Linked DNA regions of Arabidopsis thaliana. The protein of the gene in region 1 interacts with the protein of each later gene in a pairwise test. Each region holds a gene or a part of one and is shown on either strand. Other genes may lie near its edges.

Region 1 (4,198 bases):
GAAGCCGAGATTGCTCAAAGCAAGGTTCTGTTTTATATTAAGAGTGAAATGTAGTTTATTTTATTTTAACTACCAATAATCTTTTCTTGTATTTGATGTTTATCCTTCAGGCACCTCATCATCATCATCAACAACATTCAAGACATTCAGGTTCTGGATGTCGAAGAAGCCCCAGCGATGGAGCATTTGCTGAGGGAGTAGCTGCAATGGTGCTTCTGTTTATTGTCCATGTCCTAGCTAATGTGCTTGGAGGCTGCACTTACATTCGCTCTAAGCAAGATTTCAAAAGAGCAACGGCGAACAAGATACTCGCTGTGGCTTTCCTTGTTCTCTCCTGGTAATGGAAAAGATAATAGGTTTTTGGATTTCATTCAAAAGACAAATTTGAATTATGTCAGCTGTTTTTGTTTTTGACATACCTTTGTTTGTCTTAGGATCTTTTTTGTTGTCAGCTACTCAACGCTAATGATAGGAACATTAGCCAACTCGAGAACGAATCGACTCTGCAGCTTGCCACATCGTTGGTTTTTTCTTATTGGAGGCATATTTTGTCTAGGACATGGAGTGGTGACTTCAGCATATTATGTTTCAGCAATTGCTGCTAAAAAAGAAGACAAAGAGAATGCGCAACAAGAAAATCTAGCAAATAGAAGCCGCGCATAACACGTCTTCTTCATCAAGATACACAAAATGTTTCATCTGTAAATAAACTTAAATTGCTTCAAAAAAGCTTCCTTCCATTTTGATAAATCCGCAATATTCCAAAATAAACTCTTTCAAGAATCAATAGAAAACTAAAATATAATATAAAAAAGCCAAGAGTTCTAAACAAAAGAGGCAGAACCAAAAAAACAAAAACCATAAATATATCTAAGCGTTTGATCCAAATGCTTCAGATATCTTTGATAGCACTTCAAAAAGAAAACCATGCTTCTGCAAAAAGAACTCAAATTCCCTAGCCTGCATCGCTTTCCACTGCTCGTAAAATCTCTTCATATCCTTTGAGGCAAGCTTACTCAATCCTTGTTGAGCAGTAAGTTCATCCATGCCAAGACCCACTATCGATCTAACAAGAGAAGACTTTGTAAAAGAGACTTCTCCTTCATCCATCACCTCATCTTCACAGTTGTTTTTACTGTTGGGCAAAGAAGAATCAAGTTCATGCTTCACAGACTCAAACTTACTACTCTTCTTCGACTTCTCATTAGATTTCATACCAGATGCAAGAGCCATTCTAATACCTCCCCAAACTAACTTAGACAATTCAAAAGCCTTGCGATCATGAGGTTTGACGAAAGTAGGTTCAACACCATCCTTGGCTTTACCAAGATTGTTCTCATACTTCTTCTTTAAAGCCCTAAGCTTTTCCATAAGCTGATTCTTACTAACATCAAAACTAATAGATTTTTTCACCAACTCATAAACCTTATTCGTATTACTTACCCCTGTATCTTTTTTGTCATCAATCAGACCTTGTAAAACCACAATCTCATCATCTTCAGTCCAAAGTCGCTGGAAATAAGTTTTCTTCGTCTCTTCTCCTCCGCCACCACTCTTCTTCTTCTCCTCTTCCCCTGAAACCTTCTTAGCCCTCTTCACATCCATAGACACTGCTGCTTCATCCACTTCAAGAGAACGTTTAGCCCCAGATTTCTCGGAGGTTTTCACCTTCTTAGCCCTCTTCACATCCACAGGATTCGTCACAACTTGATCTTTCTTCTTCTCGAGTTCAGAGTCTGAATCGGTTTCTTCATCCGAACCAGATTCGGAATCGGAAACGGCGTCGAGAGTCGTCTTCAAAGGTGATGGGTTTTCAGAGGAAACGTCATCTTCATCATCCGAAGAAGAGTTTCGTGCGATTTCTTTACCTTCTTCGTCGCTTGAAGAAGCACTCGGCGGATCTTCTAACGGATTGAAACGTCTCGACATTGTTTTAGGGTTTATGGGACTTTGGAGAGACTTAAGAGGTTGAAATTGAGATTTTTGCTTTGCTGCCTTCACCACTTCGTTCTTAGGGTTTATATATATTGAACAAAGTGTCTCTCTGTTTTCCAAAAATAAATAATCAAAAAATTATTGGAAAACGTATAAAATTATTTATTGTTTTTCCTCTTTTTTTGCATGACGTTTAGATTTCCGATTTCCTTCCTTAAAAATTTGGAAATTAGCTATATTGACCAATTTTATTTCCCTATATTTTATCTCTTACAAATAAATGTTAGATCTCTCTTTTCACAACAACACCCGAATATGACCGCTCATTCAATCGTCGCACACGTTGATAGCGTCCTTCCCAAGAAATCTCGTGAGATCGACCGTCGCCGCCGCAGACGGAAGCGGAAGAAGAAGAACAAAGCATCTCAGGCCGATGTAGATGCAATGGACGTGTCAAAATCTCTGTCAAGCACTCCTACTGGTATTGAGACACCGGATGCAATTGAACTTCGTAAGGAACAGAGAAAGGAACCTGATAGGGCTCTATACCAGGTACTTGAAGAAAAGGGAGAGAGTGTTGTTGCTCCTGGAACATTGCTGAGAACTACACACACATACGTTATTAAGACTGGTACTCAGGACAAGACGGGAACCAAAAGGGTTGATTTGCTGAGAGGGCAAAAGACAGATAGAGTGGATTTCAGTTTACAGCCAGAAGAGCTGGATGCTATGGGAAATGTTTTACAGTATGAGGAGGCAAGAGAAGAGGAGAAATAGCGCAATAAGCCAGTGGACTTGAGTGACATGGTCGTCGAGCATGTGTAGCAGAATAGTAGGAAGAGGAAAATGCATGGCAAGGAAGAGAAGAAAAAGAAAGATTTCAACTTCTGAGGTGCGTTATGGAAGAGACAAAAAAAAAAAGATTTTAGATTCTGGACATGAGACATAGAAAGAGATTCATGTTCCAGAATTATTAGTCTTGAGTAAGAGATCTTGAGTTTTTAGTCTTAATGCTTATTAAAAAAAAAAAAAAATGTTAGACCACCAATGATGTAAATTTTTAAATAGGTGATTGCATCATTGTGTAAACCTAATATTTACATTTTGAAGGATTTGGTCTTTCTGCAGTATGTAAGTTAATTCAATCCCCTTATTATTCTGACTTGTAAGGGGATTCAAACCCCATCAATGGTTTCTAAACTTAAGTTTCTTATTTTAGAGAGATAAGTTTTATTATAAAAAAATGTGTGGGTTTTTTGATTAATGAAGAAACCATCTCCAAAATACTTTATATAAGAAATTTTGGAGAGAATTTCTAAATATTTAAGAAACCCACATAATTAAATAATATTATTTTTGTTGTTTTAATGTTAAGAAACTTATATTTAGAAACCACCAATGAAATTCCTCTAAACATTAACATTGCATATAGTCATAAAAAAAATATCTATTTTCTTTTTGGTTCTCTTTTTAATATAGCTTTCTTGGTCAACACTTATTCTTAAATATCTTAGAAATTAATAAATTATTTCGTAACTCGTTGAAAGATAACTGGCCACACTTTTTGTGTATGACTCAGACATAGTTTTTGTCCACTCGGTCCCATCATGCAAGTAGATAAACACTGAATCACCAAATCTTGTTTGAGATTTAGAAAAAAAGGAAGCTCCAAGAGATGGCAAGAGTTGTTAAAATCGATTCTGCAGAGTCATGGAATTTCTATGTGAGTCAAGCCAAGAATCAGAATTGTCCCGTAAGTCTCTCTTCCTCTTATCACTTTCGTTTTCTAGTAGCCAAAATGAAATCTGATTTAGATCCAAGACCTATGAAAGAATCAAGATCTTAGGATTAGAGTTTTATGGAGAATTTGATTTACAATTGGTTAAATCCAAATTGTGTTACTCTTTAAGATATGAAGTTAGTGAGAATGAACCATGAATATTAATGTTCAGGATTGTGAATGAATGGCTCTGTCTTGTTTGTTTATATGAATTACCAAGAACGGTTGTTCCTTTATGGTTTTTTGCAGATTGTGGCTCATTTCACTGCATTATGGTGTATTCCTTCTGTGTTTATGAACTCCTTCTTCGAAGAGCTTGCGTTTAACTATAAGGATGCTCTGTTTCTAATAGTTGATGTTGATGAAGTTAAGGTAAAACTACTTATGTGTCTCTCTACTTGATATGTCTTTCTACTTTGGCTTCTTTGTTGAAGAGAAGTGTTTAACCATCAAGAGTAAAAGATTTAAACAGTTGCTAAATTG
Region 2 (6,292 bases), on another chromosome or scaffold:
TGGTGATTCATCAGCTGGGTTTACGAAATGTTTAGGTAGTATTTGGACTGGTAAAGATCGTTATCTATGGATTGATCTCTCTGCTGGTCCTGTAGATTATGGTCCTGCTTTATCTGGTGATGGTGTTTTACCAAGAGGTGAGTTTCATCCTTTAGCTGCTTTACATGGTCGTCCTAAATCAGAAAAAGCTTTACTTGCGGATTTGGCTTCGTTGGTGTATAATGCTTATCAGGTTTTGATTGTTCCTTCTTTGAGAATCCCTGTGTACTTTGAGGATACGTTGGTGGTTCAGTTTATTCATGTGTATGGGTCAGAGGTTAAGGATTCGAGTGGGTTAGATTTGGAGTTTGTGAAGAGAACGTTTATGGATGAAGCTGAGAGTGGTGGGTTGTTGTTAGGTGAACAGAAGTTGAGTTTTAAGAGTTATAGTGTGAATTATAGAGAATGTTCGATTTGTTCGTTTGCGGTATCTCGTGGGATGAATTCGTATACTTCTAGGTTTTTGTTTGATAACTATACTTTGATTGTGAGTGAGTATTTGGATTCTAAGCATATGCATCGGGCGTTGACTGATTCGGCTGAGGAGTTGAGGAGAGTTGCGGGGATTGTTGAAGAAGAAGGAAATGAGTTTGCTAGGGTTTTACCTGTTTATGTGTTTGATTTGGATATCAATACGCCTTTGTTGCTTGATCGGTATCATCAGTCTGTTGCTTTTAGAGATATGGTGATTGCTGTTAGAACTAGAGGAACTCAAACGGTTAGTGATTATACTTGCAACGGGCGTCATGTGTTTGTTCATACGAGAGACTTAGAACGACCTCTCGTTGGTTCCATTCTGCAGAGTATGTGGGGTGTATCTTCTACTCATTTGACATGGAGCCCGAGACATAACACAACTCTAGTTGATTATACATGGAGCATTGGGCAAACACCGTTTGGACCATTCTCTGATATCTCGTCTCTATCGTTTGTTCAGAAAGATGCTGCTAAGAGAAACGTGATTTTGACATCTTTGAACACAACTATCACAAGTGCAATCGATGTTATCGATTCCGCGGTTGCATATGGAGGAGATGTGATCCTACGGAAACAGAATCGCCACTCTGAGTTCATGCAAAGGTGGAATCTTATGCAGTACAAGCTGGATAAAACGGTTTCTGCTCTATCACACAATGAGTTCGAGATGGCTTTGTTCTACTTAAGATCAGCTTCACACGACTTGTACTCAGTGCATTCAGTAGTGTACCTCGCGTCACAACGGGTAGAAGCGAGTCTCAACTGTTTCAAAGATCCACCGTTCCCATGGGGAACTGTTTCAGTGTCGGGATTCGGGTTAATGGCTGTTGGTTACGTGTTCTCGAAAAGAGATAGACTCTTTAGGAACAAACGAAAACAGTTCTGAAGAATTCTAGCAATGCAGGGTAATTTATAGTCATTACATTGGATAAAAAGACTTTGATAGTTTGGTTTTTGAGGTTAATACAACATGTACTACTATTATGAGCTTGTTTCCATTTGGTAATGTTGAACAATAGAGACAATGCTCGGATCCTCTGTTTGGTTGTCTATTTATTTTGAATAGCTCCATCACATTCCTATTGTCTCCTTCAATAATCACTTCTCCATACCCTTAGACCGGTTTTCCCCTCCTAACCAAAGCCAAACAAAACCGAAGTAACCGGTTTGGTAAACCGAACCCGCATGCCTACATAATTGATATAAAATTCTGTTTTATAAGAGGTTTCTTTTCCAAATGTGAAAAAATCCAAAACTCAAAACAACCTTCTGTTTTTACCGTTTTTTGATAAAGGTCTTTTTCCCAAATCTGCAAAACCAAAAACTCAAAAATTCAATTAAACCGGAAAATCTAATTTTCGAAAATTGGTTTTCTTCCCAAAATTAAACCGCCTGAGTGTCTATGTATAAAAGTTGATATCATAGTTTGGAAAAAAAAAAATCACTCTCTCTCTTTCGCTCTCGCTTTCTCGTCTCTCTCGTGTCTCTCAACAGAAAACCATGGCGGACGGCCACTCCTTCAATAATATCTCTCTCAGCGGTCGCGGTGGAAAGGTACCATCTTCTCTCTCTGTCTCCTTCTATCTCTCAAGATCTTTCAATTCCTTCAAAGTTTTCACCTTTTCCTCTTCCTTCGAAAACCCTAATCTCCTTTCTCTGTATCCCCTTTTGCTTCCGCCGCTCGATTCTTAAAGAACTCAATGAGTCAAATTTAGGGTTAAAAAAAAGATTGTCGCTTTCATTTTTCAGTTGTGTTGTTTTCTTGTTTACAATTGTTAAAGCTGCGGTAGTTTTTAGGGTTTTCTTAAGGCTAATTAGGGTTTCAATTTTGGTTTTTTAGAACCCGGGTTTACTTAAAATCAATTCTGGAGGAATTCAATGGAAGAAACAAGGTGGTGGAAAAGCTGTGGAAGTTGATAGATCTGATATTGTAAGTGTTAGTTGGACGAAAGTGACAAAGAGTAATCAATTGGGAGTCAAAACCAAAGATGGATTGTACTACAAGTTCGTTGGATTTCGAGATCAGGTTTGTGTGTGTATATCTTTTTTATTTGATTTGATATTGTAATGTTTGTGCTTGTTCTGATTCCTTTGTTTTGTAGGATGTTCCAAGTCTGTCTAGCTTTTTCCAAAGTTCTTATGGAAAAACACCGGATGAGAAGCAATTATCAGTTAGTGGTCGTAATTGGGGAGAGGTGGATTTACACGGTGAGAGTTCTTATAGCTTTTAGGCTTTACTTGTGGTTGTCTAGTTTCATTTGTGGATCTAAAGGGAGAATTTTTTGTTTCTTTGTGTAGGGAATACACTAACCTTTTTGGTTGGATCAAAACAAGCTTTTGAAGTATCTTTAGCTGATGTTTCACAGACTCAGCTTCAAGGGAAAAATGATGTTACTTTGGAGTTTCATGTTGATGATACTGCTGGTGCTAATGAGGTACTGGTTTCTTTTGATATGTAATCTCTAGGCTGTTATGTATGTACATTTACTGATTTATATTCTACGTGTTTACAGAAAGACTCGCTGATGGAGATTAGTTTTCATATTCCTAATTCCAACACTCAGTTTGTTGGTGATGAAAACCGTCCACCTTCTCAAGTGAGTTCCCAAACTATTTTCATTATATGTATGTGCCTCAAGTATATATTTTTTTCTGTTGATGCTAAAAGAATGTCTCAGGTTTTCAATGACACAATCGTTGCAATGGCTGATGTTAGTCCTGGAGTTGAGGATGCGGTCGTCACATTTGAGAGTATTGCAATCCTCACACCCAGGTAAAGAGTTGATTACTTAAACATTTGTTGCACTATTGTATGGCTTCATCTTGTCATGACTAAATGATTTGGTTGTTTCTATCACAGGGGTCGGTACAATGTGGAACTTCACCTTTCTTTCTTACGATTGCAAGGACAAGCTAATGACTTTAAAATCCAGTACAGTAGCGTTGTCCGTTTGTTCTTGCTTCCAAAGGTAATTCTTTTTTAAGCATATCTCAGGGCAGTTACCTATGTTAGCAGTCATCAGATTAAAGGGATTATCGTATTATGATCACTGAATCGTGTTCACATTAATTGAGTTCGTATTTTTTTTTATATGCCTGAGCAGTCAAACCAACCACACACGTTTGTTGTTATCTCTCTAGACCCACCAATCCGGAAAGGTCAGACAATGTACCCCCACATTGTTATGCAGGTAAACATTACTTACATTTTTCCTTCCATTTCAATTTTCTATGTATAATTTTCGTTTTTTTACTCTGATTTACATAACTGTTTTTGCATCTTCTCCAGTTTGAAACAGACACCGTTGTCGAAAGTGAACTGTCAATTAGTGATGAACTTATGAATACAAAGTTCAAGGACAAGCTGGAGCGATCATATAAGGTTTCTGTCTGGTCTGCACTTACATTATTGTTCCTGAATAAAAAAATTTATACATACGCTGAATTGTATGAATTTTCAGGGTCTCATTCATGAAGTATTCACCACCGTGTTGCGTTGGCTGTCTGGTGCAAAGATCACTAAACCTGGGAAGTTCCGCAGTTCCCAAGATGGGTTTGCAGTGAAATCGTCTCTCAAGGCAGAAGATGGGGTTCTTTATCCACTCGAGAAGGGATTTTTCTTCTTACCTAAACCTCCAACGCTTATACTTCACGATGAGGTAAATTATGGTTATTAAGGATTGGAGATTTTTTATAGGCTTTGAGATAGAGTTGGGTTTTCTAACCTGTTTTTTTTTCGTTTTTAGATTGACTATGTCGAGTTTGAAAGGCATGCTGCTGGTGGTGCTAACATGCATTACTTTGATCTTCTCATAAGACTGAAAACTGACCATGAACATCTGTTCCGTAACATTCAAAGAAATGAGTATCACAATCTCTATACCTTCATAAGGTTAGCGCGGATTATTTCATTGTCTCCGTCTATATTTACTGAGTGCATTTAAGATTTGTGGTGAATATTCCTTATGTTTTCTTGCTGCAGCTCTAAGGGTTTGAAGATTATGAACCTTGGAGGTGCGGGTACCGCAGACGGTGTTGCTGCTGTTCTTGGGGATAATGATGATGATGATGCTGTTGACCCTCATCTTACGCGTATCAGAAACCAAGCTGCTGATGAGAGTGATGAGGAGGCAAGTACTTTATGTCTGACCGAATTACTTCATATTCTAATGATCATGTGTTTGATAATCGAGACTTTTAATTTATGAAGGACGAAGACTTTGTTATGGGTGAGGATGATGATGGTGGTTCACCAACTGATGATTCTGGCGGGGACGACTCTGATGCTAGTGAAGGCGGTGTAGGAGAGATAAAAGAGGTAAACTTTTGTCGCATTCATTCGAACTCTTTCAGCAGCAGTATTTGTTTCTCATATCTTCCTGTCATTGACTTGTTATAGAAATCTATCAAGAAGGAACCTAAGAAAGAGGCTTCGTCATCGAAAGGATTGCCTCCTAAGAGGAAAACTGTAGCCGCAGACGAAGGCAGTAGTAAGAGGAAGAAGCCGAAGAAGAAGAAGGATCCCAACGCACCAAAAAGAGCAATGTCTGGTTTCATGTTCTTTTCCCAAATGGAAAGAGATGTGAGTTCTTCTCTCCTTTCTTTTACTTTTACCTCTATGATGTAGGCTAAGTTGCGAAATGGAGTATCCTCGGTCTATTACATACATGAGAGCAAACAATTAACAGACAAACTTAGCACATTCCTGATTATGTCATTTTCCATTTGTGAACTGAACAGAACATAAAGAAGGAACACCCAGGAATAGCATTTGGAGAGGTGGGAAAGGTGCTTGGAGATAAGTGGCGTCAAATGTCTGGTAAAAAATTTGAAGATCCTTTTCAAAAGTAAATACATTACTTGGTTTTACTTTATCATGTGAATGTGTTTTAATTCCCCAACCGTGTGTATGTATAGCTGATGATAAAGAGCCATATGAAGCCAAGGCTCAAGTCGACAAGCAGCGATACAAGGATGAGATCAGTGATTACAAGAACCCTCAGCCGATGAATGTGGACTCAGGAAACGATTCCGATAGTAACTAAACTTTGATTCTCCAACATTCTCTACTAGTATCTCATTTACCTACAATACTAAGTTATGGCATGTAGTAAACGTTGGACCTTTAGTTGTTTGGAGTTAACCAGATTTTTCTCTTTGACCTTAAAGATCTTGTGTTACTTCCTAGAAAAGAAGAGCCTGTCTTTACCTCAAAATATAGAGTACTCTGGTAAGGCCATAGCTAAGAAGCAACAAAACAGATCGTGTTTCTATCGAAATTGTTATACAAGAGGTTCTGTATGATGAAAGTTATGGACAAGAAGCATCTAAAACCTTATGGACAATGGGACGAGCTTTACACATAGCTTGCAACGATGTAGCTTTTCGCATTGTGGTTCCTTTTTCACTTTCTCTCATGTCTAGATACTTTTCTTCAACCCTCTCCCACTCAAAACATTGGACCAATGATCCAAGAGCCAAAGTCACTAGCCGTTGAGCTAGCCCTGAACCAGGGCAAGATCGTCGTCCAATCCCAAATGGCATCAACTTTTTATCCTCTCCTTTTTTCTCAAACCTCTCCGGCTTAAATTTTTCTGGCTCTTCCCATAACTTTGGATCTCTATGGATGGCCCATGCATTCACCAAGATGATTGTGCCGCGTGGAACGTCATAGCCATCAACTATACAATCTTCTGATGCTAAGTGGGGTAAAAGCATTGGAGCCACCGGATAAAGCCGTAAAGTCTCTGACACAATGTGCTGAAGGTAAGGAAGT

Evidence for each region. Proteins that work in one complex are often made in the same cells at the same time.
Region 2: the proteins of AT1G11510 (region 1) and HMG interact in binary tests that used the Arabidopsis thaliana proteins (3 or more experiments, as listed by UniProt).

What each region holds. Positions count from the first base shown.
Region 1 is NC_003070.9:3,870,908-3,875,105, forward strand, and holds AT1G11510 (DNA-binding storekeeper protein-related transcriptional regulator), read right to left. Parts: upstream 2,023-4,198; 5' UTR 1,930-2,022; coding exon 871-1,929; 3' UTR 816-870; downstream 1-815. Other genes in the region: AT1G11500 (transmembrane protein, putative (DUF1218)), read left to right, coding at 1-24, 111-337, 435-663; AT1G11520 (pliceosome associated protein-like protein), read left to right, coding at 2,122-2,712; CXXS1 (C-terminal cysteine residue is changed to a serine 1), read left to right, coding at 3,611-3,688, 3,965-4,087.
Region 2 is NC_003074.8:10,782,938-10,789,229, forward strand, and holds HMG (high mobility group), read left to right. Parts: upstream 1-1,950; 5' UTR 1,951-2,016; coding exon 2,017-2,070; intron 2,071-2,356; coding exon 2,357-2,542; intron 2,543-2,618; coding exon 2,619-2,724; intron 2,725-2,814; coding exon 2,815-2,951; intron 2,952-3,029; coding exon 3,030-3,113; intron 3,114-3,194; coding exon 3,195-3,289; intron 3,290-3,376; coding exon 3,377-3,485; intron 3,486-3,620; coding exon 3,621-3,707; intron 3,708-3,805; coding exon 3,806-3,898; intron 3,899-3,977; coding exon 3,978-4,175; intron 4,176-4,262; coding exon 4,263-4,408; intron 4,409-4,498; coding exon 4,499-4,646; intron 4,647-4,726; coding exon 4,727-4,834; intron 4,835-4,915; coding exon 4,916-5,098; intron 5,099-5,256; coding exon 5,257-5,335; intron 5,336-5,433; coding exon 5,434-5,561; 3' UTR 5,562-5,792; downstream 5,793-6,292. Other genes in the region: AT3G28720 (uncharacterized protein), read left to right, coding at 1-1,402; CYP81D11 (Cytochrome P450 superfamily protein), read right to left, coding at 5,827-6,292. UniProt on the Arabidopsis thaliana protein: Component of the FACT complex, a general chromatin factor that acts to reorganize nucleosomes. The FACT complex is involved in multiple processes that require DNA as a template such as mRNA elongation, DNA replication and DNA repair.